Danio rerio: one gene and its partner. The protein of the gene in region 1 purifies or fractionates together with the protein of each later gene. This does not show direct contact. Links are inferred from orthologs where the notes say so. Each region holds a gene or a part of one and is shown on either strand. Other genes may lie near its edges. The genes, in order: naf1 and nhp2.

The links.
Region 2: the proteins of naf1 (region 1) and nhp2 purify together in Homo sapiens (affinity purification with western blotting; 3 studies listed by BioGRID and IntAct, with this or other methods). This does not show direct contact. The link is inferred for Danio rerio from reciprocal best matches to the Homo sapiens genes NAF1 and NHP2.

What each region holds. Positions count from the first base shown.
Region 1 is NC_133179.1:10,561,705-10,578,641, reverse strand, and holds naf1 (H/ACA ribonucleoprotein complex non-core subunit NAF1), read right to left. Parts: upstream 12,259-16,937; 5' UTR 12,239-12,258; coding exon 12,173-12,238; intron 11,017-12,172; coding exon 10,550-11,016; intron 9,724-10,549; coding exon 9,543-9,723; intron 7,411-9,542; coding exon 7,317-7,410; intron 7,217-7,316; coding exon 7,134-7,216; intron 7,018-7,133; coding exon 6,857-7,017; intron 6,759-6,856; coding exon 6,707-6,758; intron 6,544-6,706; coding exon 6,453-6,543; intron 4,053-6,452; coding exon 3,736-4,052; 3' UTR 3,501-3,735; downstream 1-3,500. UniProt on the Homo sapiens protein: RNA-binding protein required for the maturation of box H/ACA snoRNPs complex and ribosome biogenesis.
Region 2 is NC_133196.1:33,045,619-33,063,362, reverse strand, and holds nhp2 (H/ACA ribonucleoprotein complex subunit 2-like protein), read left to right. Parts: upstream 1-6,911; 5' UTR 6,912-7,044; coding exon 7,045-7,195; intron 7,196-7,376; coding exon 7,377-7,446; intron 7,447-12,450; coding exon 12,451-12,556; intron 12,557-12,640; coding exon 12,641-12,766; 3' UTR 12,767-13,131; downstream 13,132-17,744. UniProt on the Homo sapiens protein: Required for ribosome biogenesis and telomere maintenance. Part of the H/ACA small nucleolar ribonucleoprotein (H/ACA snoRNP) complex, which catalyzes pseudouridylation of rRNA.

The DNA of each region.
Region 1 (16,937 bases):
AATTTTCATATTTGATGTTACTATAGATTTGGAACAACATCAGGAAATTTCTGGGTGAGAGGTTACTTAAATTTTGCATTCCATAAACATAAAAAAAATGTTTTTATTTCACAGCAGTCAGCTAAATCAAAGCCATTTTGGGAGTATATATTTACATTCCAAGTGTGATTCGGGTAGATCTGGTCCTTCATCCTCCCAGCAACATTAATTAAAACAACATGGAGGCCTCATTCTGAAACTCACGGGCCGTTTAGGATCAGACTGGGCAGATGGCCAAGAAAGACGTGACTACACAGCAATGCAAAACCCTAAAAAGAAGAGGAAGAATTTTACCAGTATGCGTAAACATAACTCATTTTATGAGAAAAAACTTCTAAAAAACAGTTACATTCAATCCCTTAGTGTCTTAGGCTGTATTTAGAACAAAAAAACAGCTCACTGCTTACTGAATACTGCACACTGTTGAGTAAACGCAAGTGAAATGGAATTCATTACTTCACAATGAACAATCGCATGCAACACGGAAAGCATTTTTCCCCATTCAATTTTTCCCCTTGGGTTTTTTTTTTTTTCATTTAGCAATGCAAGTGATTGGTGGCGTTTTCAGCACAGCATCTTGGGTAAATGAAGTTTTTCTCCATATTTATCTATTTATTTATCTATCTTTTTATTTAATAATTAAACATGTTTGAAGCACAGCAATTACTAACTGAACAAAATACATAACCAAACTCAACTAGTGACATTTTTAAACATTACAAAAGCACAACAAAGTACTTTAAATAAATAAATAAACAAATAAAAACAAAGCTGAAATGTTAAAAAGATATATTAATAATAGGCCTATATAAATAAAAACTAGAATAAATTACTGCGCACAATACACTTATGGTGGCAGCACTAATAAAATAAATTGGCTGTAGTGTATGTATGTAAATGAGTGTGTGGATGTGTCCCAGCACTGGGTTAATTGCAGCTGGAAGGGATATCCGCTGCTTAAAACTTGGTAGTTCATTCCACTGTGGCGACCCCTGGTGATTTAAGGGACTAAGCCAAAGAAAAATGAATGAATGAATGAATGAATGAATGAATGAATGAATGAATGAATGAATGAATGAATGAATGAATGAATGAATTGATTAATTAATTAATGAATGAATGAATGAGTACACTTACGCGGTAGAAATGTATGAATGTATACGTTTGCAACAGCATTTTCAGCCACAAAACACAAACATTACAATACTACACACACATTAGGGACCATTTATTTTGTAAAACACTAGTAAGGGGACAACAAGCTAACATATAAGTCAAAATGGTAAACTCACCTGTAGTTTATTGACTCATTGTAACCTTAGAGTACATATTGTATATACGCAGTGGTCATTGCTTTAACCAAATACCACAACAAGGAAATGGCGTTTACTTCCGTCATTAACAAACAACAGCTGGCTGAGAGACATTTCGCCATTTGCAGGAGCTCAGTATCTTTGTTTTGCCTAAAATATTCAGATTGTAGGAGATCCGTGTCAGCACGAGGAAAAAAAGCGCGAAGAGCTGCCACTCTCTGTCACAGAAACCTGATGGCGTTGCCTGGCAACCGAATGGTCCAAGGAGGAAACTGAATCACTGCTGAAACAAGGCCAAAAACGTTCCCCTCAAATGACACGCCAAACAATGATGAGCGGAAAAGCACGAAACTGATGACTGGTTCGGTTTTTAGTGTTAAAGTTTCATACTTAGACAGCTGGCCCATTTACGTAATGTTTATTTGAGTTCCAGTTCGATCATTTTCTCTCCCTATATTATATAAACACAGCAAAACACCATTATGAGGTCAAAGTCAACAAACGAACAAAGACAACTTTGTAGCTGCTATAAATGAAGGCTAATCGACGAGTTACCGTATATATACTCCTAGATTATGTTTAATTAAGACTTTGAATATCAATAGGATCTGAAAGGGGCTAATTTATATGCAAACATTTCCAAGTAACGCCAATGTGTGAATAGTTTGCGCACGTTCCAGTCATTAACAGAAAAGGTAAGTAAAATTGGTGGTCATTTTGTAAGTTAATTGATAAATACCGAAATAAACCATCTGGTGTAGCCTAAATATATGCTAAAATAAACAAGATCACTTTGTTATTCAGTTTCTCTGGGTTTACACATGTTTGAGTAAAATAAATGTTTGGTTGCACTGCAAACTATTGATGACATTTATTTGATGCTGTTCATGCTGAATTTAAAATAAATTTTAATTTGGAACATAACATTATTACTATTAGACAGTTATAAAATGACCAAAATTAAAAATTTATTTGAGAAGACATGAACTGTCAATTGGGTTGTACCCTTTCAAAAGGTACACATTTTTACCTAAAGGGTCCATATTGGTACCTCAATAGTACATAGTACCTATACATTTTAAGATAACACTTTTATACTATTTAGTTACCAATACCTTTGAGGTATTAATATGGACCTTTTAGGTACACATTTGTACATTTTGAAAAGCTACCACCCCAGTGACAGCTCATGTACCTTTATTTCTGAGAATGTAACATCTTTATTAAAACAAACATTTCCAAAAGTAAATAGTAGTGTATTTAAATTCTAAAATAAATCTGCCCTATACACCTAATTATAACCAGAATATGCTAATGTAGTGGTTCAGACATGGCTGAGACATGTCCACATTTTCCATCAGGTGCCCCATATTGTACAGAAGCCAATGAAAGTGCCAGTTCCCAGATGGATTGTGTGGCCCTGGGCACTGCCAATCTGCTGGAAACACACTGCAACCTTGAGTCCAAACGCATGAGATACTGAGGTCAGAATTACACTTAACAAACATCAGAATAAAAGAGCATCCCTGGACACTCATAATGTCAATAGGAAAGAGGACATAGGATCATGGGATAGGGCACTGTTTGGTTAAAAATTGACTGAGGGTGTCATTTTAGATTATAACAAATTTAACTATAAAAATCCAAACTTGCAGAGGGACTTTCATTGTTTTAGTTTTATTAACAAAAGATTTATTAAATGCTAAAAACTGTACAATATTAAACAATGGATTATATTAAACATGAACAGCTCTGAGTCGAACAGACTGAGATCCAATGTACTAAATATCAGCTTATGAAGTAAATTAATTCTACTCCAAAGCTATTGAAGCCCAGAAGCAACTTAATGCTGCTGTAATAACCATAATGTTATAGTAAAACATAAGAAAGTGCAGTTATATTACTATATACTGGTCATTTTATCACCTATTTAACAGTATTGTTAGGAAAACAAGAAAAAACATTCACTGCTCCTGGCTGAATAACTGACACTATAGCAAGTTACCTGAAATAAATCAGCACCATAATTGAATTTGCACAGAACCTGTGCAAACTGTAAACAGAATATAGAAAGTAATTGATTTTCAATGATGTTTCTTATGTGTTTCAAGCATCTGTCCTTGTTGTGTTGTCACAAACAACTCAAACTTAATGAAAAATACAGTTTATTAAATTTCACTGTAACATAATCATCATTTAAACAGATCTGCGTGTAGAAAGAGACACTAAAAATGAGAAATTAATCATTTTTAATACATTTTAAAAAGTGCACCATGAAAATATACAGTTACGATTGATCCACACTATACACTTGTATACAGATACATTAGTATACAAAGATTGTGATTGCATTTAGGGCACAGACAGTGATTCAGTCACAGGTTTACTGATAAGGAGGTGGTGGAGGCGGAGGTGGGGGCTGGAACATAAACCCCTGATTGGGCCCTGGGGGCCACGGGGCCATGCCCATGTGATAGGGTGATGGTCTGGGAAAATGAGGGACCATCGGGCCCTGATAGGGAAACATCTGTGGATCCGGATGAGGAAGCATGTATTCAGGTGGGAACCGAGGGTGAGCGTGGAAGTTGCTGTGGAAACCGCCGCCGCGATTGTGGTACTGCCCGCGAGGGTGGTTGCGGTTCTGTCTGGGCTTCCTCCGGGCAGCTTTTTGAGGCATTTTTTGGGCGTCTGATTCATCCTCTGATAAGACAATGAAAAGAATAAAAAGTAGCGCTATTACACCGCAACAACATGGGCATAATAAATGAAAAGAACGGTTGTGGGTGGTGGAAGGAAACAAAAATATCCCCTTCAGTCGACAACCAAACGCGGACAATACATTGAGAGTAATTGAATAGATTACCGAAAAAAGGAAAGTATTCATTTAAATGATCTCTTTAGGGTGGCCAGGAATCTGCACAACATAACCTTAATTACCAGTAAATCTTTCAAGAAAAATACAGGAAGCTTACCTTCCTCCCTGAACACAAGGTCAAAAGTAATCAAATAAATAGACAGGCCACCCCTACAAGCTCAAACTCTCAAAAAGTAGCAAGCATACATGGACATTAGTACAAGAATAAATGTTGGTCGTTGGCCAGAGAGGAAGGGAAATCCAGAAGCTTTCCACTCCCAGCAATCATCGCACCAGTTCCCTTTTCTAGGTGGCCGTGACCAGCAGCCAATCCGTTAGTTAGCATATCGCTACACTGAGCCATGTGCACAAGCAAGATTCTGAATTTAGCTTGCAACATCATGTCCCATGTCACTAAAAACACATTTTATTTAAGTGTCACTTTTGCCTATTGAGTGTGTAACTGTTTTGAATGCAAGAGGTCTGTTAGTAATCCTTTAAACATTTTTGATCATTGCTTAAGCGTTAACATTTTGTATATATCCTAATGTTCACATCTGAAAAGAAAAGACAAGTTTTGTTTGCTCACATGAACACATGCATTTGCCAGTGTGTGTATTTATTGCCTTGATGTATATTGGTGTTAGTATTGAATCAGTAAAATGTCAATCGATGATTCTTTTTACAATCCTACTAGCCTTTTATTTACAGTTAAAAACATTTGCACATTTGAGGAGGATTTTGTTTGTTTGTCATCCTGTCATGCCTGTAACAGTAAGCCACTGAAGTAAACGTCACATTATTTATTATTGATTGTAGGGTTGGGCGATGTTGACCAATTTGGCCTAATGCCGATGTTTCTAATGTTTGATGGAAGGAAACAAAAGAAAACAGAAGGGACGGAGTGACAGAGTGCGCACGATGTGTCTGAAGAGCGAGAAGGGATCCGAGGGTGAGAAGGGTGCGCGACTTGTTTGAGGACCAGGAGGGAGCAGCGCAATTTCCGGGGGATTATCACTCGTTTGCAGGCATTATGAGTCCCGCAAATACAAAGAGACTCCCAGAACTTCCGGGAGTCTTGGGAAGTCTAAATATCACGTTTAACAACTATAGAAGAGACACGATCCAGCAGTACATCCTTGATAAACTGTCAGACGTGCACTGCTCTCTGGAGCTCAGAGGAGCACATAACAGTGTGTGGTTGTGTGAGGTTACATTGTGTGCGAATTAAGCGGACAGAGGGCTGTTTAGAAAAGCTAGGTAAAACACGGTGTGGATGTGGATCATTTTCCTTCTAAAATGCTATTTTAACACCAAGACGTATTAGTGTAAACGGGCCGTGAGTGTGTATTTTCGCGAACGGGGGCGGGGTGGAAGATCGGCGATGCCGGCTCAGCATTGTGTAGTCTATTGGCCATCAGCGATGGACGATGGCATCGTCAATTGTCCCAACCCTAATTGATTGATGAATCAATAATGTAAATAATGACAGACTGTGGAAATTTGAGTAAACTCATATCCCTATTTCCAATTCAAATTACACAATAATTCCAGCAATGTTCATTATGCTTTAAATGGAGCAAATGCAATGTGTATTATATATTATGAGAATATTAAATGTATATATACATTATGACAAAATTAGTGCTTGGTAAAGATGAATAGCATGCAAAATAAATGTTTGCTTTGACATAATATTAATGTGTGTGTTGTGTATATATAGTATGTATTCATAAATACACACATGCATGAACACATTTGAGAAAATATATATGACATTTTAGAGATAAAATGTATGTGTATATGATAAAGAAAATATATTAATTTAAATATCTGTTACAAATAGTTTTGTACAGATTTGTTTATATGCATGCATCATATCTACATAATAAATAAATATATTAAAATAAATAAATAAATAAATAAATAAATAAAAAAAATATATATATATATATATATATATATATATATATATATATATATATATATATATATATATATATATATATATATATATATATATATATATATAAATTATACACACACTGTCAAAACAAACTATTATTATTATTAATATATTATAATTAAAGTATTATATTGATTAATTGTGATAATCAAAAGAATCGCACCCAGCAAAAGACAAAATGTTCAAAAAATAAATAAATTCCAACCCTAAATGGTTGTAAACCTATTGTTGGAGTCCCCAAAACAAAAGTAGTGCCACTTTATTAAACCATTTGACCCACCTGAGTCTGAGTCGTTTTGTTGGCGCCTCTTTTGCTCTTTCAGCTTCTGTTTAGCCAGCCTCTCTTGCTCATCATCACTAAAGTCAAGCGCCTACGCAGACACAGAATAAAACCCAATCAGCAGAGAACTAAACAATCCGTCATTAACAGATAACACTGATGACACATTAGAGCAGGATGCCACGCTCTTCCACACAGATTAAACCTGCGCTGACCTGATTTCCTACATAATTGTCATGAAAAGGCACATTTACCTCAGGGGGAGGTTCCTGGTCATTTTTCCAGGAAGCATCTGAGCCTTTGAGCCTGGTTTGAGAGGAGTTATTTGTTCATGTTAGTGGAAAAATAACACAGGTATCAAAAGAGCATTCGAATAAATAAAATGAATGTCATGAGCTACTTACGTCTTGAGTTTGTCTGTGAAGATGTAGTCTGTGAAATCTTTAAGCTTAGGGGCGAAGTACACCGGGTCTCGAACTTTAAGGTCTTTCTGTTCAATGTCGTCATGGGAGTTGAACCGTAAAACATAAAAGGGCTGACAAACCGGCCCGAATATTTCAAAGACCTGAAGAGAAATCAACAAGCTGATTATTCCCCAATATATCTCTGAAAAACGGCATAGTACATATTGACACATTGCTAAACATTTGGAAATAAATTTGACTGATATTTACTACCGACCTTGCCGACAGAGTTTCTGTTTTTGCTGAACAACACACTTTCTTCATTCAGTGGTGGTAAGTTCTTGTATGACTCCACGATCACTAATCACAAATAATCCATTTTTAGTGCTATAAATCTAGCTAGTATGCTTGCTATACCATAAATATATACCCATGTGGGGTTTGGCAGATGTCTGAATACCTAATTGATCCACGATGCTTGATATTGTGCCGATGGGCTCCATTTCTGTATCTTCTGGAAGGCTGATGATCAAGTTTTCCACTGCAGGAAGGTCCTGCACACAAGATATGCCACATGTCATTATCATTTATGTCTAATAATAATAATAATAAGGCATTTTATTTAAAGGCGCCTTTCATGACAATCAAGGTCACCGTACAGGACAGCTAGAACAATCAGTTTAAATTGGAAAACAATAAAAGTCAATAGAATACAATACAAATTTTAAAAATGCAGTCGGGTTAGAGAGAATAAACAGATGTGTTTTGAGTTTGGATTTAAATAGAGAGTCTAAATTACGGAGATCAAAGGCAAGTGAATTCCAAAGCTGACGAGCAGAGTGGCTGAAGGATCTGCTCCCTATGGTGACAAGGCGGACAGAGGGAACAGTGAGGTGAATGGAAGAAGAGTGTTCAAGAAGATGTGGCGATATGACCAAGATTAGCAAGGTATGGAGGAGCAAGATTGTGGATGCTTTAAAAGTGAGAAGAAGCATTTTATAATTAATTTATTCGGAAAAAGATAGGAAGCCAGTGAAGCGGTTGTAGAATGGGCGTGATGTGACAGATAGAGGGGGTTCTTGTGATAATCTGGGCTGCAGCGTTTTGTACCAGTTGTAATTTATAAAGAGTTTTATTAGGGAGGCCAAACAGAAGGGAATTACAGTAGTCCAAACAGGATGTGACTAAACTATGAACAAGAATGGCAGCTGAATGCGATGACTGCTATTAACATTGGTCTCGGTTGGTTCAATCACAAGTGGACGTGTCGGGCACAATTAATTCAGGTCTGATTATGCAATAACAGCCTGATTTTGGCACATATGGGAATGGGTATCAGGACGCAAGAATCAATAGTTTGCTCTTGTATGGTGTGTCATAGTGCCGTGCTTCCCAACCCTGTTCCTAAAGGCACACCAACAGTACACATCAGTACAATCAAACACACCTGAATCAACTCATCAGAACATTGGTAGAGACTCAAACCTTTACTGAATGGGTCAGATAAGGGAGACATCCAAAATATGTGTTGTTGGTGTGCCTCCAGGAACAGGGTTGGAAAAGACTGTCATTGTGGACAACAACAAATTTTTTTTTTTTTTTTTTACTTCTCCATGAGGGGATTGGTTGTTTGTGTGACACTGATAACCTCTTAAGATCTTCTGTACATGCAAAACATTCAAACATAGGGATATAATGGTTTTGGTGCTGCTAATTGGAATTATTCAATGGAGTAAAAGTTCAAGATAATTGAATAACAAAGGAGTCAGTATAAAACTTGTCGTGTTGGTAACACTTGCTGGTTTACAACACAAATGTAGGAGTAAAAAATACAATTAAATTGCATATTTTTTGTTAAATTACATAATCTGACAATCGCCCTTATAACAGACAGAAATATAGTGTAGTCAAGCTTTTGCACAGTTTAATTACATATAATTTAATTAGAACTTCAATGTAGAAATTGTTTATACAGCCAAAATGGCATTGTAGAATATTTATGCAAAAGTATTTAATAATTAAATGTCAAATTAAGTGATGCATCATATTTGCATAATACATATATGTTTGTTAACCTCAATAATTCTCTACTCAAAATGAATTTATTTTTCCACAGAAAAGACTTGAAACATTAAAGCAGACACCCAAGTTGAATTTAATACCATTTGTATGTATGTAAAATCTTATATAACATATCCAATGAAGAACATTTTTATTAATTAAAATAATTAAAGATGTGTGAAGGATTCAGATGCAAAAGTGTTCTTTAACTATAAATAAAGGCAATGAAAATAACCTATTATTTCTCATAATAGTGAAATAACTGAACATAAACATAGGAGCCTGAGGAAAAAGATTGTTTTCAGGTGGCAATGAAGAGTTTTTGGACTCTTTGCATATTATTATGTTTATTAATAATATGGTGGAACACAATAAGAATTTGGTAACAGACTACATCAGTGTTTTGCAATAATGTTGTATGTTTAAAACAAGACTATAAATATATTTTTAGGTTACGTCACCAACTATATATTCCTAGATGACAAAACTCCTCTGAATTACACCTCTAATATCACAAATAAGTAAAATAACTCACAATCTAATCAAATACACTGGGAAAGATGGAAACATATCAGCTTGGGTTCATAAATTGCTGTTGGAAAAGAAGAAAAATCTTAAAACTTACATCAATAAGCAGCTCATCTTGTGTTTTGACCGGTGCTGACTTTTTATTGCCCCCGGCAAAACCTTCATCATCATCATCATCTTCTGCTTTATTCGGCATAATCACTACCTCAAAAGGCTCAGAGGAGGAAGACGAAGAGGAGGATGAAGATGAGGATGTGGAGGATGAAGAGTCTGAGTCACTAAATAAAAGTAATAAAATAATTTAGCATTGAACATTCCTGGGGTGGGGGTGGGGGGGTATAATTGAAGCATCACAGTTTACGCATACGGTATTATCCAGATATTGACCTAAGGATCTAAATGAAAGCACACCAGGTCACACTTTTACATTAAAATTTCATTGGTAAACATTAGTTAATGCATTAAAATCAGCAGTGAGAAATAGACATGTATCATAATTATAGAGTTCATTTTAAAAATGCAAATTAATTGTATTAGTTATTAACTCCATTTGATGAAATGATTACGACTTTTGATTTTAATGCTATTATATGCATTAATTAAGAAATTAACAACACCTAAAAGATAGAAAAATGCTTTTTTTAATTGTCATTACCAGGCAATTTATTTTTATTTATTTATTTATAAATACTCATTTATATAAAAATGCAACAGAATTGTGGTAGTTATTAACTCCATTTAAATAAAAAATACAACTTTTTATTGTAATGTGCAATTATGCACCAACTATGAAATGTTTTTGTTGTTGTCATTACATAACTGAGGTTAACAAAAAGAGCCTTACTGTACAGTGTTAATACACAAAAGGCCTATAAATGAATACATTTCACAGTTTTAGCTCGGATTAACATGTAAAATTGTTTGAAATCAAGCATGTATGCATTTGATGCTGTGATGAACAACTACTAATACTCTACAACACATTAATACATATTCTTCACTGTATCTTGAAGTGCCTACCATACTCAATGTGTGCATGGACATCATTACAATATATTGAGTATATGCCTAGATGCTATAGTGTTTAATGTCGCATGATTTTACCTGTCAGAACAGTTGTCATCCGAGCTGTTTCCTCTGTACTGCATGCTCAGCAATGCCAACGATCCAGTGCCAGACTGTGGACTGACCACAGTCCCATATTGCATCTCTGCTGGACCAGACTGAACACTACAGATCTGTTCATCGATTGGTTCAGACTTAATATTGGAGCTCTGATCTGCCCGTCCAGACTGATCACTGGTTAAAGCATCTCTTATTAGTGCAGGTTGACCACCGGAGCTCTGATCTTCTCCTGTGAGTCCAGCATGATCACTGGTAAAATCTTCTTCTTTTACAAGTTGATGTTCTGAATTCTCTTTGCTAGATTGTTCAGGCTGAATGCTGGAGATCTGATCGTCTCTCTGTTCACTGGTGCATGGTTCATCTGTAGGTCCAATTAACACATCTGTGTTTTCAGTCTTGATATCCAGTTCCATTTCGTCTTTTTTAGATTTGGTCTCATCTTGATCCTGGAAAAGAAACAAAATTTGTGCAAGATATAGATGTGAAAAAATAGCAATTATTATTATTATTATTATTATTATTATTATTAGGGATGCACAATATATCATTTCAGCATCGATATCGTAATGTCATCATTCGCAAGTCTGGATTCAAATTCATAATTTTGCAAGTGATTTCTAAGGCGTGTGAGGGTTTTAAAAGCATTAAGGCCTAAGAAATTGTACCATTTGTACCTTTCTTAATTTTATAACCATCACTTTTATTGAATTGTTTATAAAACAAAGACCAAGTGGTATTATTTTTCTTTTGATTATTCAATTACTGTATACCTGAATACAATTTCATTCATTTTCTTTTTGGCTCAGTCCCTTTATTAATCAGGGGTCGCCACAGCAGAATGAACCGCCAACTTTCAGCTGCAACCCAACACTTGCAAACAAAAAAACACTGTTTATTTCATTTGAATCTTTTTCGTTATTGAACTCATCGACGCTGTTAGATTGTTTTTTATATTTTATGCACTTCCCTACAAAATCCACCCAAATCAATCTAAAATTATAAAACCATTCCAAATGGTTCAACTCATTTAGTAAAATTGTATTCATATCGCAGAATAAAAAATTGCAATATGAGAATTTTGCAATATCATACAATCCTAATCAGTATTATTATTATTATTATTCAGCATGATATTAACACCGTAAGAGAACATGTGGAATAAAACATTTTCTATTAAACTGATGTGATTCTCTTATGTGAGTGCACATGATCTTTGTCATTTCTCAAAGGTGCTGATGGTTGAATTAATTCTAATGGTTATTATTATATTTAGGGGGAAAAAAAACATTGAGTGTCTCTTTAAGTAATCAGCATGCAAGATTAAAGTTAACTCAGCAGGGTGGCGGTGTTACTGATGCCGTGACTTGCAATCTAATATATATTAAAAATCTATTTAAAATCTGAGCTGCATCTTCCTCTAACCTTACTAAGTTAGTCTACAGCTATTCATGCTTGATGCACATGCTCAATTATTCATCACTCAAGTTTAAATTATAAATGCACATTTTAGAGGATACAATACATATATTTAGTACCTACCAAGTGTGCCACAATGACTGTGAATGATAAGAAACACACATACGCATATAAAACATCCTTTACCTGGCTGTAAGTTGCGTTTTCTGTACTTGAATTCTCCATGTTTAGCTCTCCATGTGTGAACAGCATGAAGAAAGCGCTTCAGCTATGATTCTACGTCATCGGCTACACGTGAACAGGAACCGAAAAAAGCCTTTCAAAATAAAAGCCACAATATCTGTTGATAAAACAAAAGTTAAATGTTTAAAATATAAACAAAATAAGCGAACATTTGTATAAAATTTTATTCAACAGTGCCAAGCTAAACAAAATTTCAGTCATTCATTAATTACCAATACATAGCTGAAATTATACGCTTATGCGAGTCGTATGTTTGAAAAAACAATCTCCTTCGAGCCGGATTCGAACCAGCGACCTAAGGATTTCAGTGATAATCCGCTACAGTCCTCCGCTCTACCAACTGAGCTATCGAAGGGTATGAAATGACGTCAGGAGCAGCGGAATTAGTCGACTTCTTATGACTAGTAGAAACTCAGTTAGAGATATCTCTAATTACAATTGACTAGTCGAAATTCATTTAGAGATATCTCTAATCACAATTGTGACTAGTCAAAACTCATTTAGAGATATCTGCAAATATTTTTCAATGGAAGTCAATGGAGGAATATGACCAGTCACAATATATTTGCAGATATCTCCAATATGATTTCGTACTAGTACAAATGTAATTGCAGATATCTCTAATTGTCATTCTGACTAGTCGAATTATAATTATGACTAGTCAAAATATAATTAGAGATATCTCTAAATATATTTATGGATAGTCAAAACAAAGTAGTAAATGTTAAAACGGCTTGCCATAGACGTCTATATTCCGTGTCTATGCTGATATTTCGGTTAATCCGTAGTAGTTTGTTTGGAAGTTGACAGAGATTTCTGAAAGTATTATATTTCGCGGGGCTGTTCAGTGTTCATAATCTTAAACCAGGGCTGCCCAAGATCCTGTCCCTGTTCCCCCGTCTAAACTGAACCGCACTTACAAAAATGGCTACAGAGTTCGTTTCAATCAACCCCGAAGTCTCTAATGTGAACACGTTATTATTGTAAGCTGTATAAACCGAAGTAAATAAAGACACTCCTTCGAGCCGGATTCGAACCAGCGACCTAAGGATGACAGTGTTATGATACCGCTACAGTCCTCCGCTCTACCAACTAAAATGTACCACCAATAAATGTACTTTTTTAAAAATCTATATTAATATTTGATCTCTATTTAGGTTATATACCATTTAATATAACCAAATTACTGGCTGCTGTAGTATTAACAAGTTACCAGCAGATAGCGCTATTGGGCTTCACAAAAATTCACGAGGCTCAAACTACAGCTGTGCGCATTAAAACAGCACATCTGAACCCTTGTACATTAATTTCTTTTGAGCATAAATAATGTCTACATACACACTTACCATGATTTTACACGTTCAGAAAATGTCACTCAGTGTAACAGTTGCTTATTAGCAGAAGTGATGGTGGCATAATAAAGATGTTTGTGTTTTAAAAGGTCAAAAGTGTTGTGTATGTGTTTTGTTTTACATATTTTATCACGTGAATGCATTTATTCTTTTTCAAATTTATTAGAAACCTTAAGGTAGACACTTTACTTGAATTTAATACATTCTGTATGTATATATCGCTTTATTAGTAATTTAATAACAATTAATTTCACACCAATTTGTCCAAAATAAATATGTATTATTAGTATTATCATTATAAGTGTGAAAACACACACAAAATATTCTGTCAACAGAACAAGACGATAGAGATAATTTTTCCATGACTTTTATAGGACTGTCAAGTAAATTGTCATGACCTATTGTTTCATGGAATGCCTATATATATATATATATATATATATACACACAACAGTTCTGTCTGGTTCTCGAATCTGATTGGTTGATAGTCGTGATAAATTTAAGTAATATCAGGATCCGTACAGCTTCTTTACCTTTTGTGTATTACTCCGCTCACATACAGCCAGCAAAAAGCAGACACAACAGATCTAAAGTTTAAAAGATGCTTGTTCAGCTGTTTAACTGTCAGCTTATGATTTTAATCCAACGTGGAAGAAAGTAGTTCCTCATACAAAAGGGTTTTTGAGACTCTCCATGTTTGATTTTGTTTTTATATACACAATTATGCCGTCAAACTGTTGTATAAACGCAATATCACACGAGTAGCAGTGTGATATGGCTGTATATCGGCACTGGTGGGGGCACTAAGGCAACACACGCCTCCCACCAGTGCCGATATACAGCCATATCACACTGCTACTCGTGTGACATTGCTTATATATACACTTCATAAATAATATGAAAAACTATGCAAGCTCAAATCCATAAAACAAAAAAACAAATCTATTTAGTTTGAATTTATTACATAAATCTATTGTATGTAAAATGTATTTAGATAGTGCTTACACATGGCGGTTCATTCCCACAGTGGCACCTCTGAAATTGAAAGAAAATGAATGAATGAATGAATAAATGCTTATGCAGCATTCCTAATGTGAGACCATGTTTTTGGCAGAGACAAGAAGTAAAGACAACTAACCTATGCTCAAGTTTACAGATATTATTGTTAAACTATTTTCCATGACCTTTCCAAAACTTTGTGGGGGTTTTTTGTGTTTCCCAAACTTTTCCAGGCCTGGAAAATGCCATGTCAAAATTCCTTGATTTTTCCAGGTTTTCCATGACCGTATGAACCCTGTAAATCTATATTCACAGATGTGGAACTCCGCCTGTTTCTAAACCCTAACATTCACCTCTAATTTTACTTATTGATTATTATTGAGTAAATCGGCAGATGTTCTGATGCTTTAGTGAGGAATCAGTAAACAACGTCATCCTTAAATGAATGTATGTGTATTTATATAGCACATTTATTGTAAATAGTCATACACCCAAAGTGCTTAACAATCATGAGAGGGGTCTCTCCACACCACCACCAGTGTGCAGCATCCACTTGGATGATGCGATGGCAGCCACAGGACGACAGCACCAGTGCGCTCACCACACACCAGCTATTGGTGGAGTGAAGAGACAGTAATAAAGCCAATTCGGTGGATGGTGATGATTGGGAAGCCATGATGGGCAAGGGCTGAAGGAGGGAATCTGACAAGAACACCAGGGTTACACCCCTACTTTTTACAAGAAATCCCATGGGATTTTTAGTGACCTCAGTTTAACGTCTCATCCGACTACGGCACAGGTGTCAAACTCAGTTCCAAAAGGGCCGCAGCTCTGCACAGTTTAGTTCCAACCCTAATTAAACAGACCTGATCAAACTAATTGAGTCCTTCAGGCTTGTTTGAAACCTACAGGTAAGTGTGTTGGAGCAGGGTTGGAACTAAACTGTGCAGGGCTTCGGCCCTCCAGGAATTGAGTTTGACACCCTTGGACTACACTGACAGTATAGTGTCCCCTTCACTATACTGGGGCATTAGGACTCACACAGACCTCAGGTTGAGTGCCCCCTGCTGGCCTCTCTAACAGCACTTCTAACAGCAACCTAGTTTTCCCATGTGGTCTCCCATCCAGGCACTGACCAGGCTCAGCTCTGCTTCAGCGAGTATCTGCTCTGGGCTGCAGGGTGATATATTATATAAATAAAACTCCAGTAAACAGAGACAAAAGCAACACACACACACACAAATATCAGGAGGTCATGGAACCCCACAGTGGTTTAATCCTAAAAAATATATGGCATGATTGACAACACAACCTGGTTCAGATGAGAGAATCGAATTTAAAAAAAAGTTTGAAAACAAACAAAAAAAAATGTTACGCAGTTTTTGCTGTGAGAAAAAACTCAAACGTTACGAAAACCAGGACGACTGGAAGAAACGAAAAAAAAAAGAAAAAATTTCGGGTTTATTTGAGTCACATCTGAAGGTTTCCAAAAAAAAATATATATATCATTAGTCACGTTAACACGGAGATAAACAATGGCACATATTGGATCTCTAATTTAAAAGTTAAGTGGTGCTGTCATATTTCAGGAGACAAAAGTTAAATAAATTACTACCATTAACATACACATTTGAATATTATATACAAAGGGAGTTATTGGAACAAAAATCTACAATTCAAATTTCGTCGTCAACAATTCGGAAGTATTACCCTATTTTACAGTGTGTGTGTGTGTGTGTGTGTGTATTAGTTTGTGTATCTGCAATTAAAAAAACAAAAACAAAAGATCCTGTGATAAACAGGTGATACTTTTATGCATCCTCAGTCCAAGTCCAGCAAAATAGACTCTCTCTCGCTCTCCTCTCTCTCTAAAGGAATAATATAAACAAACTCCTCTATGTACAGGATTCAAAACAGAAAACAGGTAACAGACTACAACTAAAACACTGATTTTTGACAGATCCGAGGCTCAGAGGCTGGATATCGGAAGCGGATGACATCCACCTTCGATTATGGGATTCAGTTTTGCGATCTAAGTAGATATGGCAGATCTGATATCTGTTTTGGAATGCATATTTACAGGTTTGCATATATTTTGTCATTATTTCCATGAAGTTCCAGCCTCTGGCCTCCGATTGGTGTAAACAGACACTTGATGAAACAAAAAAGGTTATAAAAACCCCTCCACGCACACCGTCCACTCACTTTTAGTCTGCGCCTTTCGTATAATAACGAAAAATAATTGAATTATCATCTGTGCATAAATACGACACAATACATCCCTCCATTTTCCTTCAACATCCCTTAAAAATTTAGTGGTTTGTAATTTCTTCGTAAACTGGCAAAATTGGAAATCT
Region 2 (17,744 bases), on another chromosome or scaffold:
AGTGAGTCGATTCACTGATTCTGAACCATGACTCACCGAGCATGTCACGCGCTCCGACCACCCGTACAGATACTCGACTGAGGAAATGGCCGTGCGCTTTCTGTCCGTAACGAGAAGAAATCCGATCGATCTGTGCAGGTTAACACCAAGTGCGGTCACCAGGTAAAAAGACGTTTACCGAAAAACATTCATACAAGTGTGCGATTTATGTGAGGAAAATTAGGTTTTAGTTTATAGTGTCGTCATTTTGACCGTTTAAAGTGTTGCGGGGAAGCCCCGCTGCTAACAGGCTAACGAGCGAGTTAACGGTTTAGCCGGGACCACAGCTCACAACACTTAAACATACAACCAATATCAGTTAAATGCTTTACAAACGCCAAGATGTGTTAACAGCTAGTCACTTTGTGATTGAATGGTGTTTTACGGTATTTGGCAAGATTTCGCGAGCACTCGCATCTGGCACATTGAAAAAAAAACTATACACGTAACGCTACATCTGTGTCTTTAAATGTTAACGTACACGCTTTATCCTCCGCAGTCACAGGTTAATAAATATAACAACAACACTGTTATTATAATATACACTAAGGCACTGTCGGATGTTGTGGAAAACGTATTCTCTTTCCCCTGTTTACTGTAAAGAAGTGTTTGTTTGGTGTTTACTTTCACTCGGGTAATCCTCAATCCCACGGCTCATTTGCTTTCACAGATTTACGTTACACGAATTAAACCTGTAATTACTCATGGTGATGAATGGCTTTTATTGCATACTTAATTTTCTTTGAGTCTTACTGATGCTAGCCGGTCATATGTTATCAGCCCTCCTATTGTTTAGGCATTTGCAGTCACGTCTGATCCTTTGGATCAAATTCAACCTACATTAAACATCATTACTGGTGTAAGAATTTATTACATTGGTTATATGGCGTGTTTTATGTAGCTTGCTCGTTTTTTTTGTTATTTAATTGTTTTTAACAACATTATGCAAAATCTTTATGTGTATTTATACAAACCAAAGTGGAAACCCACACTTGAAAATGTTGATTAATTGTGGGCATTTTTCTTCTCTCTTTATAGTTAAATATAGTACTTGTTATTTAACATGATTGTGGCCACAGTTTACCTAAAACACTGGAACAAAATTAGAATTGGGGTTCTTTGTCTATTTTTTAACAAATTTACTTACTTTTGATCTGAAAGAGAAAAATTATATTTTCTAAAAACGGACAAAATATTTTCAAATTAGTGAATTGCACTCTTCAAATGCGCCAAGTCCTCAAAATATCCATAATTAACTTGATCAAGTGTTTGTAAATGCTATAATTTCTAAAATCTTTGTATATGGAGCAGGTTTAGTTGATTTGGTGGGGAAAAATATATATACATTTTGAGTAATATTTATGTGGAAAAACAGTTGTACATTTAGATTTTTCCCCATATCTAACACCTCTTAAAGGCTGGATTTATACCTGTAAAATCTATTTTGCTTGAAAGCATTGCAGATTATTATATGTTGTTTAGGACTAGTAGCCTAGATTTCATAAATTTAGTTTTTTACTATTTAATTGCATTGTGATTCAATAGTGACATTGAATTTCAAACAAAAAAAGCATATGTACATTTAAGAAATATTGTTGATAATTGTTAAAATAACAATACTCTTCATCCAAACTGACCTAGATTGCAAAATCACATATTTTGAGTGTATTATTACTTTTTTAGTGTTAATTTGTGGTTATTTTTTCTTTTTTAAAGTAGTATATCTTAGAGCTGGGCTAATATACGATATTACATCGAATTGCGATTAAGAAAATTATCTATGACAATGATAAGATCACAGCTGATATGATCTAAGAACCAATTACACAGCAGAAGCGTGCAACGATGGGAATCTAAAAATGTGTAGAGATGCATAGAATTCTCAGCCATCGAAGATTTATCGGCCAAGAATATGTTAGGGCGTTTAACAGACCCTCAAATTTTTGTGGCTTCAGTCACTGTTAGGATACTCTTTTAAATCTGGAAGCATTAGCAACTTCTATCGAAATATATGTTGTTATCACTCAATATGGAAAATAATTATCGAGATTGCATTTTTGCCATATTGCTCAGTCTTAGTATAATTGTTCTATTAAGTAACAGTTGTGTGGATGTGAATAAAATGTACAATAACCATATCTATTTTTTCCTGAAATAATGTGTATTATTACAGTCAGTGTAAATCAAAGATTCTGTTTTAATTACTACTGTAAATACTTTGGAGTCAGACAACTCATTAAACAACAACTATATATATTACACAACAACTATATATAGTAGTTGTTGTTTATTGACATTTTCTTTGTCAAATACGCTCTATAGTTGTTGTTGTTTTTTGCAGAAACCTGAGTAGCTCAGTCTTTGTATTAAAATAGGCATTCTTGTAGAATATATAGGTTATGTGTAACGTTATACTACACGTGAAAGGAGTGAGTGTTTAGCAGCTGTTCTCTTGTTTCATGGCTTCAGGTCTGCTGTAGGCCTCTTTAGCACTGCGGCAGAGCAGCGTAGTGCTGGTGACGACTGCCATGGTGAAGACAGAGATGACGACCACAGTCATGCCGTCACACACGTCCGGACCCTTGAGATGAGAGCCAGAAAACTGGAGGAGCAGGTTCACGACCTCACCGTAAGTTCACACTAATTTTTTTTACTTCAGCTGAGGCAACTCTGTCACTCTTTAACCCGTTGTAGGGCACTCTTTGGAAAAACCGTGGAGTGTTACTGGGATTATTAAAAAAAAAACGTTGTAATCAATGTCAATGAAGTTACCATGTAGGGTTCTTCACCCTAAAATGATCAACTACTACATAACTACAATCAGTGTAACTCGGAATGTCAAAGGTTTGGACAAAGTTTGGATAAATAATAAAAATATTGGGGCAAAATACTTGTTTGCACTCAAAGTCTATTAAACTTCATAACTACCCATTAAACTTATTGTGACAGAGATATATTATTATTCTTCACAAGAATGTTCTTACAGTATTATTAATAATAATAGTTTAACTTTGTTTTTTAAGTAATAAGTACACAGTGTGTTTTCCATCTCAATGATAATCTATGTAACCGTAATTTACCATTTGAACAGAGCTCATTTCAGTTAGTTGTAAATGTTTTGATTAAGATTTCTAAAATTGTTTTTTTTTTTTTTACTATAAATATGGAATCAAGACACATTAAAAACACAGAATCTAAACAAAAATGGAATTAGATTTTTTATTATCCTTAGCTGTGAATGTTATATTATTATATTTTATTATTTAGGTTTAAGTTTAGGTTTTTCATTTAATAATTTATCAATCCAAATTTGTGCAGATTTTCTAGATGTTTTGCTTCCTTGACATTAATTCAATTATAAAAGTAGCTTTGCAGTTTAAATTATAATAAAAAAACATCTTATATTCTTATATTTAATCTTAAATAGATTTTATTAAACATATATATTAGGCCTTTACAATATCTGAAAAATCTCTGATATTTTGTAATTCTGCGATATTTATTTTGAAAAAAAAATTTTAAACAAAAGATTGATTTTCATTTTGAGTACCATTTCACCAGATTACTTTTTTATCTTTATTTAGAAAGAATTAGTAATTTTAGACTGAATAAAATATATTTATAATAAAATATATATTTTTAGTTCTGAATAAAATATAAACCATCTAAAAGCATAGATCAATACAATAAAAAAGCTACAATTTAAATAACGTTTTATCATTTTCCAGAGTCTAACAGTATGTAGGTTCAGTAATTGTCAAATTATTAAAACAGTAAAATTGATCATTAATAAAGTGACAAACGGTACAATTTATCATCCATGAATTCTTTTAAAATCATAATGTAGTCACAGGCCTCAAAAAAACACATGAAAATGATACATTCTATATTCTGCAATGGAACTGTTGCGAATGATTATCGATGCTGAAACGATATATTGTGCAGCCCTAATCTTTAATCTGTGGGGGTATTGATTTATCTAATTTGGCATGAATCTAAATTTGCTTGCTTGACATTTATAATAAGTAGTACAGCATTTGTTTATAAATGCTTGATATTTTCTATATTTACAATTGCTATATTTATACGATTTGTACCAGATAATAAGCAAATCAGAATTATCTGCTTGTTTAATGTGACGTCACATGAAGTGGCTTCCAGGTCCAATTGCTCTATTAGACTGAATGAGGAGACTCAACAAATGGCAAGGATAAGCATAATGTTTGATAATGTTTGCAAAGTGATGTCATGCTTTCAAAAATCACAATTGCAATATTTAGTTCCATGCCTAATATCAAATGGCTAGAAAGTGATTCATTTTTTTATAAATTGTTCAAATATTGGTGACTGTGATGCAGCAAGTCCAGAGATTGTTGCATATAAAAATCATTTTAATGTGTGATATGACTTAAAATTGGGCACAAATTAACATTTTCTCCTTTCAAATGACTAGCGGCCTGGACCCGGAAACAGTATTTTATACGTCACGACTTAACAAGTGAATATTGGCCTTCACTTTTAACATTGTATCTAAATGTTTAATTGTTGTTTCTAATTTAGTTTTTGTCAATTGTTAATTAACTGTGCTTTTCACAGGAGCGATACAAGCGAGCCGTTGCAGACTCAGACAATGTTAGAAGAAGAACACAGAAATTTGTCGAGGACGCCAAACTTTTTGGTATAACTAACTATACACTTAATGCACGCATACCTTGGTGTCTCGTAAATCTCTCAGTCCCACATTAAGCATAATTGTCCTCCTGCAGGGATTCAGAGTTTCTGCCGTGACCTGGTAGAAGTGGCAGACCTTCTGGAGAAGAACTTAACAGTTGAGGAGAGCGATGGAGCACAGCAGCTGGCACAAAACCTGGCACACATTCAGGAGCGGCTGCAGGACATCTTCACCAAGCACGGACTGGAGAAGATGACCCCTGTGGGAACCACATATGACCCCTATCAGCACGAAATCGTCTGCCATACTCCAGCCGAGGGCGCGGAGCCTGGAACCATCGCCATGGTCAAGCAAGACGGTTACATGCTGCACGGACGCACCATTCGCCATGCCCTCGTGGGTATCGCTGTCAAGACTCAAGAGCGGTGACAGGACTTTGGTTCACTTCTTGTCCCGCTAATGCTTTTGTACATTCATAGTTTGTACGATGCTATTGTTCTTACATCTCTAGACGACTACATGTTTGACTTACTCTTTGAAGTAATGGTTATTTATATGTATTTATAAATGTTTTGTTGTTGTAAGCTTCTACACCAGTTTTTGTTTTGAACCCCTGATTTACACAATGTCCAGTGCCCATTTAATGTCTGGAAAGGTTGTCTTTTTGTGTGTTGCAGTGTTAAATTGACCCGGGAAATGCACTTTACGCCTTTATTATAGTGGATTCCGTATGTGATACTAGTTTAGAGGGAAAAGCAGCATATGAGATTGGTGAGAATATTAGTAACACTACAGTTTGATGATGTGTGTTTAACAACAGTTGAGGATTTGGTTATGAATTAACAATGAACAATCATGTTTAAGGCGTTTATTCATCATGGTAATGTTTAGTAGATGTATATCTAATTAGTTCATTGTCCATGATATTAGTAAATGCTGTAAACCTTTAGCAAACGTTTAGTTCATGGTCACTAATTTTAATGCATATAGCATTATTGTAACCTTTCCAGAAAGTTGTTGAATGTGTAAAGTGTTGAAGGCCACCAGTATCCAAAACAAAAGACAAACGTTTTCTCTTTTGGATGGGAGAAATGCACATTATATATAGATATGCATCCAAAGTGCAAATGAGCTTCGTGCTATTTGGGAGATAAAGTGAACATAAAAAATATTTATGTATTTATTCTGTTTGAAATAGTTTGCCCTGATAGTTTACATATTTTTTGTAGCTTAGAAGAAGAACTGAAACTGTAATCTATTTACATTTTCATTTAAGCTGAGTTTTTACTCATGCAATTTTTTTTTGTAAATGATGGAAACTCTTTAGTTTTGAGTGGATGTGTGAGGCTGATGACTGAATAAAAGTCTTTTCTTTTCGTTTGTTCATTTTGTGCACTAGGGGTCAGTGTTTTTAAAACAACTCAAAAACACGACATTCTAGATGTAGATACATAGATGCCTCTTTTAGATTCTGCCATGTAACGAGCAAAATATTCGAGAAGTTGACTGTAAAAACAAGCAAGTGTGAATATATCTACAATAGATTTTAATGTATTTTTAGCAACACGAATGCATTAGTTGATGTGTATAATAAAAAGTAATCTTTCACAATAACATATACATTCTTGAAAAGTAAACACGTTTAACTAATTTTTCCAAATGACTTTAGATTGTAAAATGATTTCCCCACAATACTGCTGATAAAACCATGAATTAAGATGCCATTATAAAATACCTACATTTCCCCCTCTAAATGTCCAGTTTCTTTATAAATTAAAATCGAAGTGGTAAGTGCAAGCTAAATTTACCGTTGGCGGACGGAGTCTGGAGCGGTTTCTAGCTCAGATACGGTTGCGGCCGGAAATTAACAGTAATCATTTATATTGTTTATTAAGTTTCCTATTTATTGTATTTTATTAGCGTCTGCCCCAACCCTAAAGCCAGCTTATACAGTGATGTAAAAACGGCCGTTTTGCCGCACTTATTTATTATAAATAAATAAATGGTATTTCATTAACGTCTGCCCCTAAACTCAACCGTCACAATACTGTAAAAATATTATTGTTATACAGTGTTATACAATATATTAAAAATATATTACTAATAAAATATTATTGTTATACAAAAATGATCCGCAGCTGTATCTAGACTTCACCGTCGAGAGCGGCATCTATGTATTATTCGACTCTATGGAGGAAATACTGCAGTGTTCGAAAAACACCGGAAATACGTTTATAGTCACCGCACGTGTGTTGTGCCTTGCATCCTGTGCCTGCAACACTATCAGCCTTAAGTTAATCGCTAAAGTATATTTGTGTACATTTTAACAAAAGATGACAAAGGTAAAGAAGGAGAAAGCCGGGGAAGAAGAAACCGGAGGGACGGAAAAATCATATCAAGAGTTGATAGCTAATATTAACCCAATCGCAAACCCGCTAGCATCGCGAAAACTTAGCAAAAAGCTCTACAAATGCGTCAAGAAAGGTAAACACGTGTTCAGAACTTGTTTTTAACATTCATAAAGAGTAACGTTATTGCCTGCGAGTGTGAATGAAAGTATACTAAATATCGCTGTCTGTAGGTTTAATATGTTGCAGACACGTGGTTGCAGTCATTTGTTCATTGGTTATGAGTGTTATTCATTATTATATTTATATTTTCTTAGCGGCTAAAGTTAAACAGATCCGACGAGGAGTCAAAGAAGTACAGAAGTTTATCAACAAAGGAGAGACTGGGTAAGATTAAGGTTTTTTCAGGTATTTGTTAAGCCCATTGGTTGATCAGTCCAGGGTTTAACCCATATTAGCCTTTTAAAAAGTTCATTCTAGTTTCAAATTGACTACACTACTAGACAAAGAATAATACTAATTTTTAATTTAACACGAAGAAATGCACAAAATTCACAAAACTATTTGAGCTCATGATGTTGTATTTGGTTCAGTTTGTACGCAGTATGATCATCTTAAAGGGATGGTTCAACCAAAAGTTATTTTATATTTTCATAATTTACTCACTTTTTATTTTGTTCCAAACCAGTTTAACTTAATTTTTTCGGTTGAACAAATATATTTTGACTTCCATTGCATTTGTTTTTCTTACTATGGTAGTCAATGTTTTCAGCTTGTTACAAAATATCTTTTGTGTTCAACAGAAGGAATAAACTTGAGGGAGAATAAAGAGTCTGTTATTATTTTTTTTCCCTGTGATTTATCCCTTTATAGTGTAAATATATCTTTAACTTATGGTTATAGTATATGAAAGCTATATTAGTTTTAGAAAACTAGCAGTATATTTTATTTAAATTATTTAAAAAATATCCTTGAATCTGTTGAAACTTTAGACCATTTTGAGGGACGTAAACAATAACAATGGTCCCAATTAGGCATGGGTGGTTTAGAATTCTGATGCTATGATAACCTTAGATCAGTGGTTCTCAAACTGTGGTACGTGTACCACTAGTGGTACGCAGGCCTTCTTCTAGTGGTACGCGGATGAATCAAATATGTAATATGTACATGCTACATATATTTAAAGAAATTATCAAAAATGATTTATATACGAATATGATGACATGAAGCCTATATTTATGAGGTCTAGGCAACTTTTCCAGGTGCTAACAAACCAGGAGTTATTTCTTTTTTTAAACTGTACAGAGCTTAAGCTGCTTTACTAGACCTAATACGCTACTGTATTTCAAAACTGCTCATTATGGTGGTACTTGCAAAGACAATTTTTTTCCGAGGTGGTACTTGATGAAAAACGTTTGAGAACCACTGCCTTAGATAGAAATATCACAGTTTTGTGATCACAACTCTAAAATATTTTCTTTTAAATGTCTAAAAAAAAAAAAACACGTTCTTCTGCTGCCTTCAAAAACACAAATTTCTCTACAATTTAAAACGACATATTTGGATATCTACTCTGCTGAAGATGTTGGCCTAAAAAAGCGTAAATAAAAAATCTTACACATACCTTAGGAATGAAATACATGAAAATTTTGAATGTTTTAAAACCTGGACTTTTTCCAAACCGCGGTAAACCTTGAAAACAGTTGTCATCCCATGCCTAGTCCCAATGTATTTTCTGTTTGACATGTTTTCATTTCTATAGCTTCTGAGAATCCAAAAAGGTCAACATATTGATAAACAATGTTATAGTAGCTGTTTTAGCATTGAGTTATAGTTAAATTCCCTCTTTTAACAGTTATGATAGTCTACACATGAATCATTTCTGCATGAAGAAATTACTTCAGTATTTTGTTTGTAAAATGTAATATCGTTTAATTAAGAAATTGTTACCATTTATATAGATTATATGCACTTATAAATTTAATTATATTATGTATTTAAAAATATTTTCAACTATGAAATTTAATAATAGCTTTCGTCTTTGTGAATTTTTATATTTGAAAAATTTTCTCAAGTTTTATGTATTAAAATGGGTAAGTGTGTTAACATGGAACTTGTATGGTAACATTCAAATTGTTTTGATTTTTTTGTCATTGATCAAAGTTTGCTGATCAGACACAATATGGCTTCAGTCAGACAAAAAGTTATTATGAGTTATGACTTGAGATCAAGCAGGCCTGAAATCTGAAAATCAAGTCAGAGTTATTAGCCGCCCCTTATATTATATATTAGATATTTATTTATTTATTTATTTATTTATTATCCTGTCTAAATGATGTTTAACAGAGTAGAAAATTTTCACAGTATGTCTGATAATGTTATTTCTTCTAGAGAAAGTCTTATTTGTTTTATTTCGGCTAGAATAAAAGCAGTTTTTAATTTTTCAAACACCATTTTAATGACAAAATTATTAGCCCGTTTAAGCTATATATTTTTTCGATATTCTACATAACAAACCAGGGTTCATACAGTCATAGAAACCCTGAAAAGTCATAGAATTTTGACATGGCATTTTCCAGGCCTGGAAAAGTTTTGGAAAACCAGAAAAACCCACAAAGTTTTGGAAGAATCATAGAAAGTAGTTTAACAAATATCTGTATACTTGAATTAGGGCTGCGCGATATTGAAAAAATCTGACATTACCATATTTTGTGTTTCTGTGATATATATTGCCATATAAATACAATTTTGCCAGATGATTTTACAGGTTTATTTGGATTGACCGGGGGGAATCTTGAATAATATATAACAAATTAATTTCATGCATAGATAAATAAAATATAATAAAGATAAAAGCTAATGATAGTTTTCAGGTATTCACTATTCATGTACAGATATTGAATAATAAACACTGCATAGTCTTTATTGCATATTATTTAATCTTTAATAAAGTTACAAAGCATTTCTTGTGAAAATTGTCATTTTTGGGTGAACTATCTCTTTAAAGATGCGTGCAGATGATAAACTTCTACTCCATTATAATTAAACTATAATTCCAACATTGCATATGCTGGGATGTGACTATTGTGGATGCACACACTGCGATATCGATTACATTCCTAAAACGATATATTGTGCAGCCCTAACTTCAATATTGGTTAGTTGTCTTACTTTCTGTCCTTGGCCAAAAACTTGCTCACATAAAAATAAATTTAAACAAAATAGATTGTTGCGTGTTTTATGATATGCTGTAATAAATTTGAACGTCATTGATTTTCTTATTATTTACCATGTATATGTAGACATTACATGAAACATTACGTCATGAAAATGTACTTGAAAGTTCTGGAAAAGTCTAAATAAAATATTGTTTACTGTCATCATGGCAAATATGAAATAAATCGGTTGTTAGAAAGGAGTAATGAAAACTATGAGGATTAGAAATGTATTGAAAAAATCTCTCCGTTAAACAGAAATGGGGGTGGGGGGAGGTAAACGGGGGCGAATAATTATGACTAACTGTTTGCGTTATGTATGCTTTATCAGGATTAAAAAATATTTTTTATGAATTGAACTTAATCATTTAATTGTTAAAATATAAGTTACAATAGTTTATTATTTTAAATGTAATACAAGTGTTTTTTTAATGTTTGTATTTAGTGCTGTCAAAATTAGTGTAATGCATGCAATTAATTTAAAATAATTAACGCATTGCAGGGTTTTTTTATTTCCTGTTGTGGTCGACGTGTGTATAACATGCAAAGAAATATGGATAAGAAGACCAAGGAAGCACTTTTTGAAGGAAAGTTTCAGTATAAAACAATTAATGTCACTTTTAACTTTCGACTTCTGTTTTAATAGAATTTGATACCGCATGGTGAATGGAAAGAAAAGCCTCTGCATTTCGTGACTCGGTGGTCCTTTATTGTAATCAAAAATCGCTGCTTACTTGGTCGACTCTTAATAAGAGTATTATCTTAATCATATTAAAATCTGAGTATTCATTCATTCATTTTCTTGTCGGCTTAGTCCCTTGTTATTCCGGGGTCGCCACAGTGGAATGAACCGCCAACTTATCCAGCTAGTTTTTACGCAGCAGATGCCCTTCCAGCCGCAACCCATCTCTGGAAAACATCCACACACACATTCATACACAACGGACAATTTAGTCTACCCAATTCACCTGTACCGCATGTCTTTGGACTCTGTCAGAATCCTTGTGAAATATAGCCATACTTTAGAACGCTTAGTTTAAGCAGATTTGATGAACGCGGTCATGCTTGTTGAATCTGAAGGGAGTCGCTCCGGCTCCCCTGTCATTGCGCGCGTTGTGTGTCTGTCTGTCTGTCTGTCTGTGTCAATCCCGTGCACAGACCCTTACAGGGGCAGGTGCTCAACACGACCGCCTAATGTAAAGAAGGACTGAGCAAAATTGTTTCTACTTTATAATTAATGTTCTCAACTCACAGTAATACAACTTTACAATGAGCACAATTGTTTGTATTCAATACTTTATTATTATTATTTTCTAATTTTCATATTTGCAATGCCTGTATTTTGGCATATTTTGCAGTCCACTTAAAATCCAACTTGGAATTTTTTTTTTCTTTATTGGCATTGATTGTTTTGAAACTTAAATGGCACTAACATGCCTGTTTTCATTTCTGTAAATATGGCTGTGAAGCAGGATCTTGATGGGTTATTGTGGGTTATTTACATGAAGAAATCTGTGTTACAAGTTAAAAAAAAGTCTAATAAACAATTATATTTTGAATTTAAATAGTTTTTTGACTTGCCTTTACATTAATTTTACATTTGAATAGCCAAAATTACAAGTTTCAGTCTTTTAAATGTGATTAATATCACTGTCTCTTCACTCCACCAATAGCTAGTGTGTGGTGAGCGTACTGGCTCCGTTGTCCTGTGGCAGCCGTCGCATCATCCAAGTGGATGCTGCACACTGGTGGTGGTGTGGAGAGACCTCCCCCTCATGATTGTGAAGCGCTTTGGGTGTATGGCCATACATAATAAATGCGTTATATAAATACACATTACATTACGTTAATTTTCAAAAAAAAAAAACTGTGATTAATTAGTTAATTTTTTTTTTCGATTGACAGCACTAATTGTATTACAATAAACAATTACATATTATGTAAATTATTTTAAAATGTTATCAAATACATTTGTCAATAAATACCCTAAGAATATTAATATAAATGCCATAAAAAATGTGACCTTTTAAAAACAAGATATTTCTGTCATGTTTAAAATATTGTTTATCACAGCCTAAATTTCATCTTTATTCTTGAAATGACCTGTGGGATGTGGCTCTCTGTTATCTAATATATTGGAAACCCCTAATGTTTCTTATTTTCTGTCCTCTTTCAGTATTGTAGTGTTTGCTGGAGACACTCTTCCCATCGACGTCTACTGTCACCTACCAATCATGTGTGAAGACAGAAGCCTGCCGTATGCTTATGTGCCATCCAAAGTTGTAAGTTGATCAGAAGCGTATACAATAGACCTCTAATGAACCTTTGTGAAAGCTATATTCAGAGATGCTCATGTGTTTGTGCAGGATTTGGGCTCGTCAGCCGGATCCAAGCGTCCCACGTGCGTCATAATGATCAAACCCCATGATGAGTATAAAGAAGCGTATGATGAGTGTGTGGAGGAGGTCACATCTCTGCCGAAACCAATCTGAACACACTTCACTTGTATTTTTTTTTAAGTACAATGACTATATATCACGTCAGATTAGGATGGTGTGATGTTTATCAGTACAAGACTCGCCCTGGTTTTTGTCTTTGTGGACTTTTTTTATCTGAAGGAGGAGGAACAAATGTATGATGGCGGTTAATGATCTTGTGTAAAGAAAGCTTTAGTTCAATTCACTGTGCGGTGAATGTTCAGCCTGTTGATTTACTGAATATTTGACGCTGGTGATCTCTAATGATTGATGTATTGGTGGCTTTTATTTCTCTCTTTCATAACTGCTTGATTTGATTTTTGATCTCAGAGCTCCAAAAGATGTCAAAATAAACATTTTGATTGTTTTTTTTCTACCAAGTTTTGCATTCTTATTACTAATGTTATTATTTTACATGATATCATACAAAACTTTTATTCCAAAGTGCTGCATTTGTCATTCAAGATTTCAGTCTGCACACCCTAAAATAACAATGCCAGTGACTCCTCAGCCCCCAAATTCCTTAAGTGTAAAATATAAATATATAAACACCCCATACACAAAAGGCCTATATACAGGGTTCATACGGTCATGTGTAACCTGGAAAAGTCATGGAGTTTTGACATGGCATTTTTCAGGCCTGGAAAAGTTTTGGAAAAAAAGAAAAACCCACAAAGTTTTGGAAAAGTCATGGAAATCACATTTACATTGAGGAGACGTTTTTGTCCAAAGCGACCTAAGCTGTGGTCACACTAGAGCTTGTGCTTGCAAAATTCCATCGTGTGATGCTGTAAAAAGCGGCGGGGTTCAAAATATGATTAGACATTAATAAATGTAAGCGTTTGCTCCATATTTTAAACTTCTTATTTTGAATGATCTTCTATTGGTCTCACGCAATAACCTGATGTGATTTGGCAAGTAAGAATTCCCCAAGCTTGAACTTTTGTATGCAGTAAAATGCGAAACACGTTCTTGTGTTTCTGGTCTGCCGCATTCGCATGCCTATGAATGGAAGTCTATAGAGCGAAAAGTGTAGTGAGATCACGGCTTTATAATCCAAGTAGTTTTACCCACTACTACTATTTTAACAAACCATTAAGATTATCTAAAAGTAGTTATTAACTACTGGCAAATAATTGAGGTTAGAATGGAGATTAGTTTTTACTAAAACATGTTCTGACATTATTAGTGATGTATAAGCATCATCTATTTTACATAGGTACAAAATGAATGGATACTATTGAATGTTTTATTATATACTGTAATCAATTTAAACGTTTTTTTATGATTTGCCACATATATGTAAACATTAAATGAAACATTAGGTCATGAAAATTGACTTGAAATTCCTGGAAAAGTCATGGAATTTTTGTAGTAAAAATGCGTATGAGCCCTGTATATAAACACCAGTATATTGACAACACAAAAACAGGAATAACCATGTCATTTTTATAGTCATTTATTAATTAGTTTAATATTAACCTCCTCTAAAGAGACTGGTGGACAATGTTTTTAGCACAAGTCTATTCTTGGTTTAATTTTGGAGACTGCCACTGGGAGAGCATTCTAAGAGTTCAGCTGTGGCCTGTATTTACTTTTAATGTAGTTGATTGCACATAAAGGTGTCAAAGTTTAACCTGGTGGTATAAAATCAATCTGCTGCAGCTGACACTATTGCTGTGTTGTTAATCTAACGTAAACACACCGATCCTATAAAATAATAATAATTATTGAAAGGCTGATAGCTTTTCATTTGCATGTTGTTGTTTTTTTATGTAACTATGAAGTACTATTAGTATCTTCGGTAGGTTATGGATAAAATATGGTAATTCTAATAGTTAAATAACACTTATTTGATTTTTGGAAGGTGATTCATTCTGCTGTGGCGACCCCAGATTAATAAAGGACTAAACCGAAAGGAAAATTAATGAATTTTGGAAATCACCAAGCGACCCGTCATATTCCCGAGACCCCCACTTTGGGAACCACTGCAATAGTGTGCCAGACTATACACATTCTCATTTAGTGAAGATGTTTTAATGGCTTCATGTATTTTCATCTCGTTCACTTCACATCAAAACTATTATTAAAACAAAATTATTAAAACAGTAACATACCACTAAACCACATACCAAGACATCTCTCTCTCTCTCTGTATAAAGAGACTTGAAGTCCCTTTTTCCCCCACATAAAATTGCATTAAAAAACATAAAAATATATTTTATATTCATATGGAGTGTATGCAGTGTGTTTGCGTTAGATACAGTTGAAGTTATAATTAATAGCCCCTTTTTATTGTTTTCCCCAATTTCCCCAAAATGGAGAGCAGATTTTTCTCAACACATTTCTAAACATAATAATTTTAATAACTCATCTCTAAAAACTGATTAATTTTATCTTTGCAATGATGACAGTAAATAATATTTTACTAGATATTTTTCAAAAAACTTCGGTACAGCTTAAAGTGACATTTAAAGGCTTAACTAGGTTAATTAGGTTAACAAGGCAGGTTAGGCTAATTAGGCAAGTTATTGTATAATGATGGTTTTCTCTGTAGACTTTGGAAAATAAATATAGCTTAAAGGGGCTAATAATTTTTTTACTGTGAAAATGTACTTGCTCTGTTAAACTTAATTTGGGAACAAACCATCTTTATACAATGACTCGCCTATAATTACACTAACCTGCCTAGTTAATCTAATTAACCTAGTTAAGCCTTTAAATGTCACTTTAAGCTGTATAGAAGTGTCTTGAGAAATATCTAGTCAAAAATTGACTGTCATCATGGCCAAGATAAAATAAATCAGTTATTAGAAATGAATTATTAAAATTATTATTTTAGAATTGTTTTGAAGAAAATCTTTCCATGAAACAGAAATAAATAATAAACAGGGGGCTAATAATTCTGACTTCAACTGTATGTTCATTTTACTGGTGTGGTACATGTGATTTTCAAAATCAAAAAATTTTCTTTTGGATGATCAAAGAAAAATAAAACGTTGACTTTTCTGTTTTATAAAAATATTAAACTGATCTAAAAGGGTCTACTAAAGAATTTTCAAAAAAAAAAAAAATAATAATACCAATTTGATTAAATTTTGTAATATAATAATGTAATATTGCTATAGTATGGTGTATGTAACTGCAAGTGTTTTAATGTAAAAAATACAAATAGGTGATCTATACTTACTTATACTAAAAATGATAAGTAATACTAAATATTATTAAAGTTATTAAACGTTGACTAACAATAAAAAATAACCATAGCTAATTAGTATTTTGGCCCTCCTTTAATAGAGACTTTTAATTTGTCTTCAAATGATTTTCTTGTTAGCTACAGGCGCTTGATGGTTTGGCATATAAACTGTTACAATCAATTTAAGTGGATTTCAACAGAAAATGTTTGTATATCGAGAGTTCGACAATATCACTAACGTTTTGTGGCGGAAGCTAAAAGTCAGGGGGGCCTATGTGTGCACGTGCTTGCTAAGAGTCAAACATCAAAAGGTAAGCTTAAGTTTTATTGTTACCTTTAATAATTGTAAACTATAGCGCCATGATCGATGAAAAAATCATGGTAATAATGTATAATAATCATTGTTTTGCTCATATAAGAACTCAGTATATTTCTCCACACGGTGGCAGTATTGACTTTCCAGAAACGGTCATAACGTTAGCGGTTACCAAAACCGGGCGACCAAACTTTCCATAGCCTACTCCTCACGGACTTTAATTATATAAAAACAGGCTAAACACCCCACGCTATTATCGCATATTTATTTTAAACTCTTAAATGAAACATAATATGGCCATAAGTACAGTAGGGCCTCTTTGTTTGCTGAGGCAACACAGTCTGTTAGGTGTTGAAACTGATCAACAGTCTTTTTCATTTCACAAGGCCCAGTGTGGTGTTGACATCTTAAATATTTAATACCGAAATGCTCGTACTCCCATGATGTTTGTTGTATTTTGGCACATATTACACCCAAATCTTGTATAAAAGCACAAGAGAGGGGTTTCAGTCCCTCAGTTGGACAAAAGCAGAAAGCGGGATGGTTGATGCTTGACACTCCATTTGAGTTATCACTTGCATGACAAATATATGGACGACATTGACAAGGTTGTTTTGCTCAGGGATATTGGATTATACAAGTTTTTCTTGAATCCTAAGGGACCAGGACTGATATTACACCAGAACAAAGGAGTAACTGTACTTCTGTAGGTGAACATTTGTGCTGGAAGAACGACTTATTTCGCAGTAGTCGTGAAATATGAAGAGGATTTCTGTTTGGATTTGTAGATAATGTGTGGTTTTGATGCTGGAGATTCTAATCGATGCACTTGTTATCATGAATCTGAGTAACCTGACACAAGCTGAATTGCTTAAAATGGATGATAAGTCAAGAGTCACTGAAACTGCATTAACGCGTAAAGAGCAGATGTGATAAGGCCATGGAAAAGGGGCCACGTGTTCGCCTGTTTACTGCCAACAATGGGACAGGGTCTAACATGAGTCACCTGTGTTAAGGGGGATGGGGATACAGCCAGTGCCATGAGTTTACCAAACAAGGCTTTAAGTTCAGCTATGTTTTAGTGTACACACTTCAAAGTGTGCTCAGTGCTTAATATGGGTGCTGGAGGATAAACAAACTGAAGGAACTGGAAATAAAATTCAGCAATTAATTTTCGGAGTGTGCTGCTGTTTAACTGCACTAGCACTAGTTAGGGGTTTTTGCTCTGGTAAGCATCGCTATGCTGTCTGTACTAAAAGTGTTAAAGTTCAACACAAAACTCTCAATGACAGAACTCGATGTCAGTGCTACGGGAAAAAATGTTACCTCAGATCAGGTTATATGTGGATATAGTTGTAATTTTCACATGCTGGACAAAATGAATGAGTTGATCAATTGAAAGCAGAAAATTATTTAGACTTAAGATTAGGAGTACTTATTTTAAAAACAAAACAATTAATAAAAATAAAATAAAAATAAAA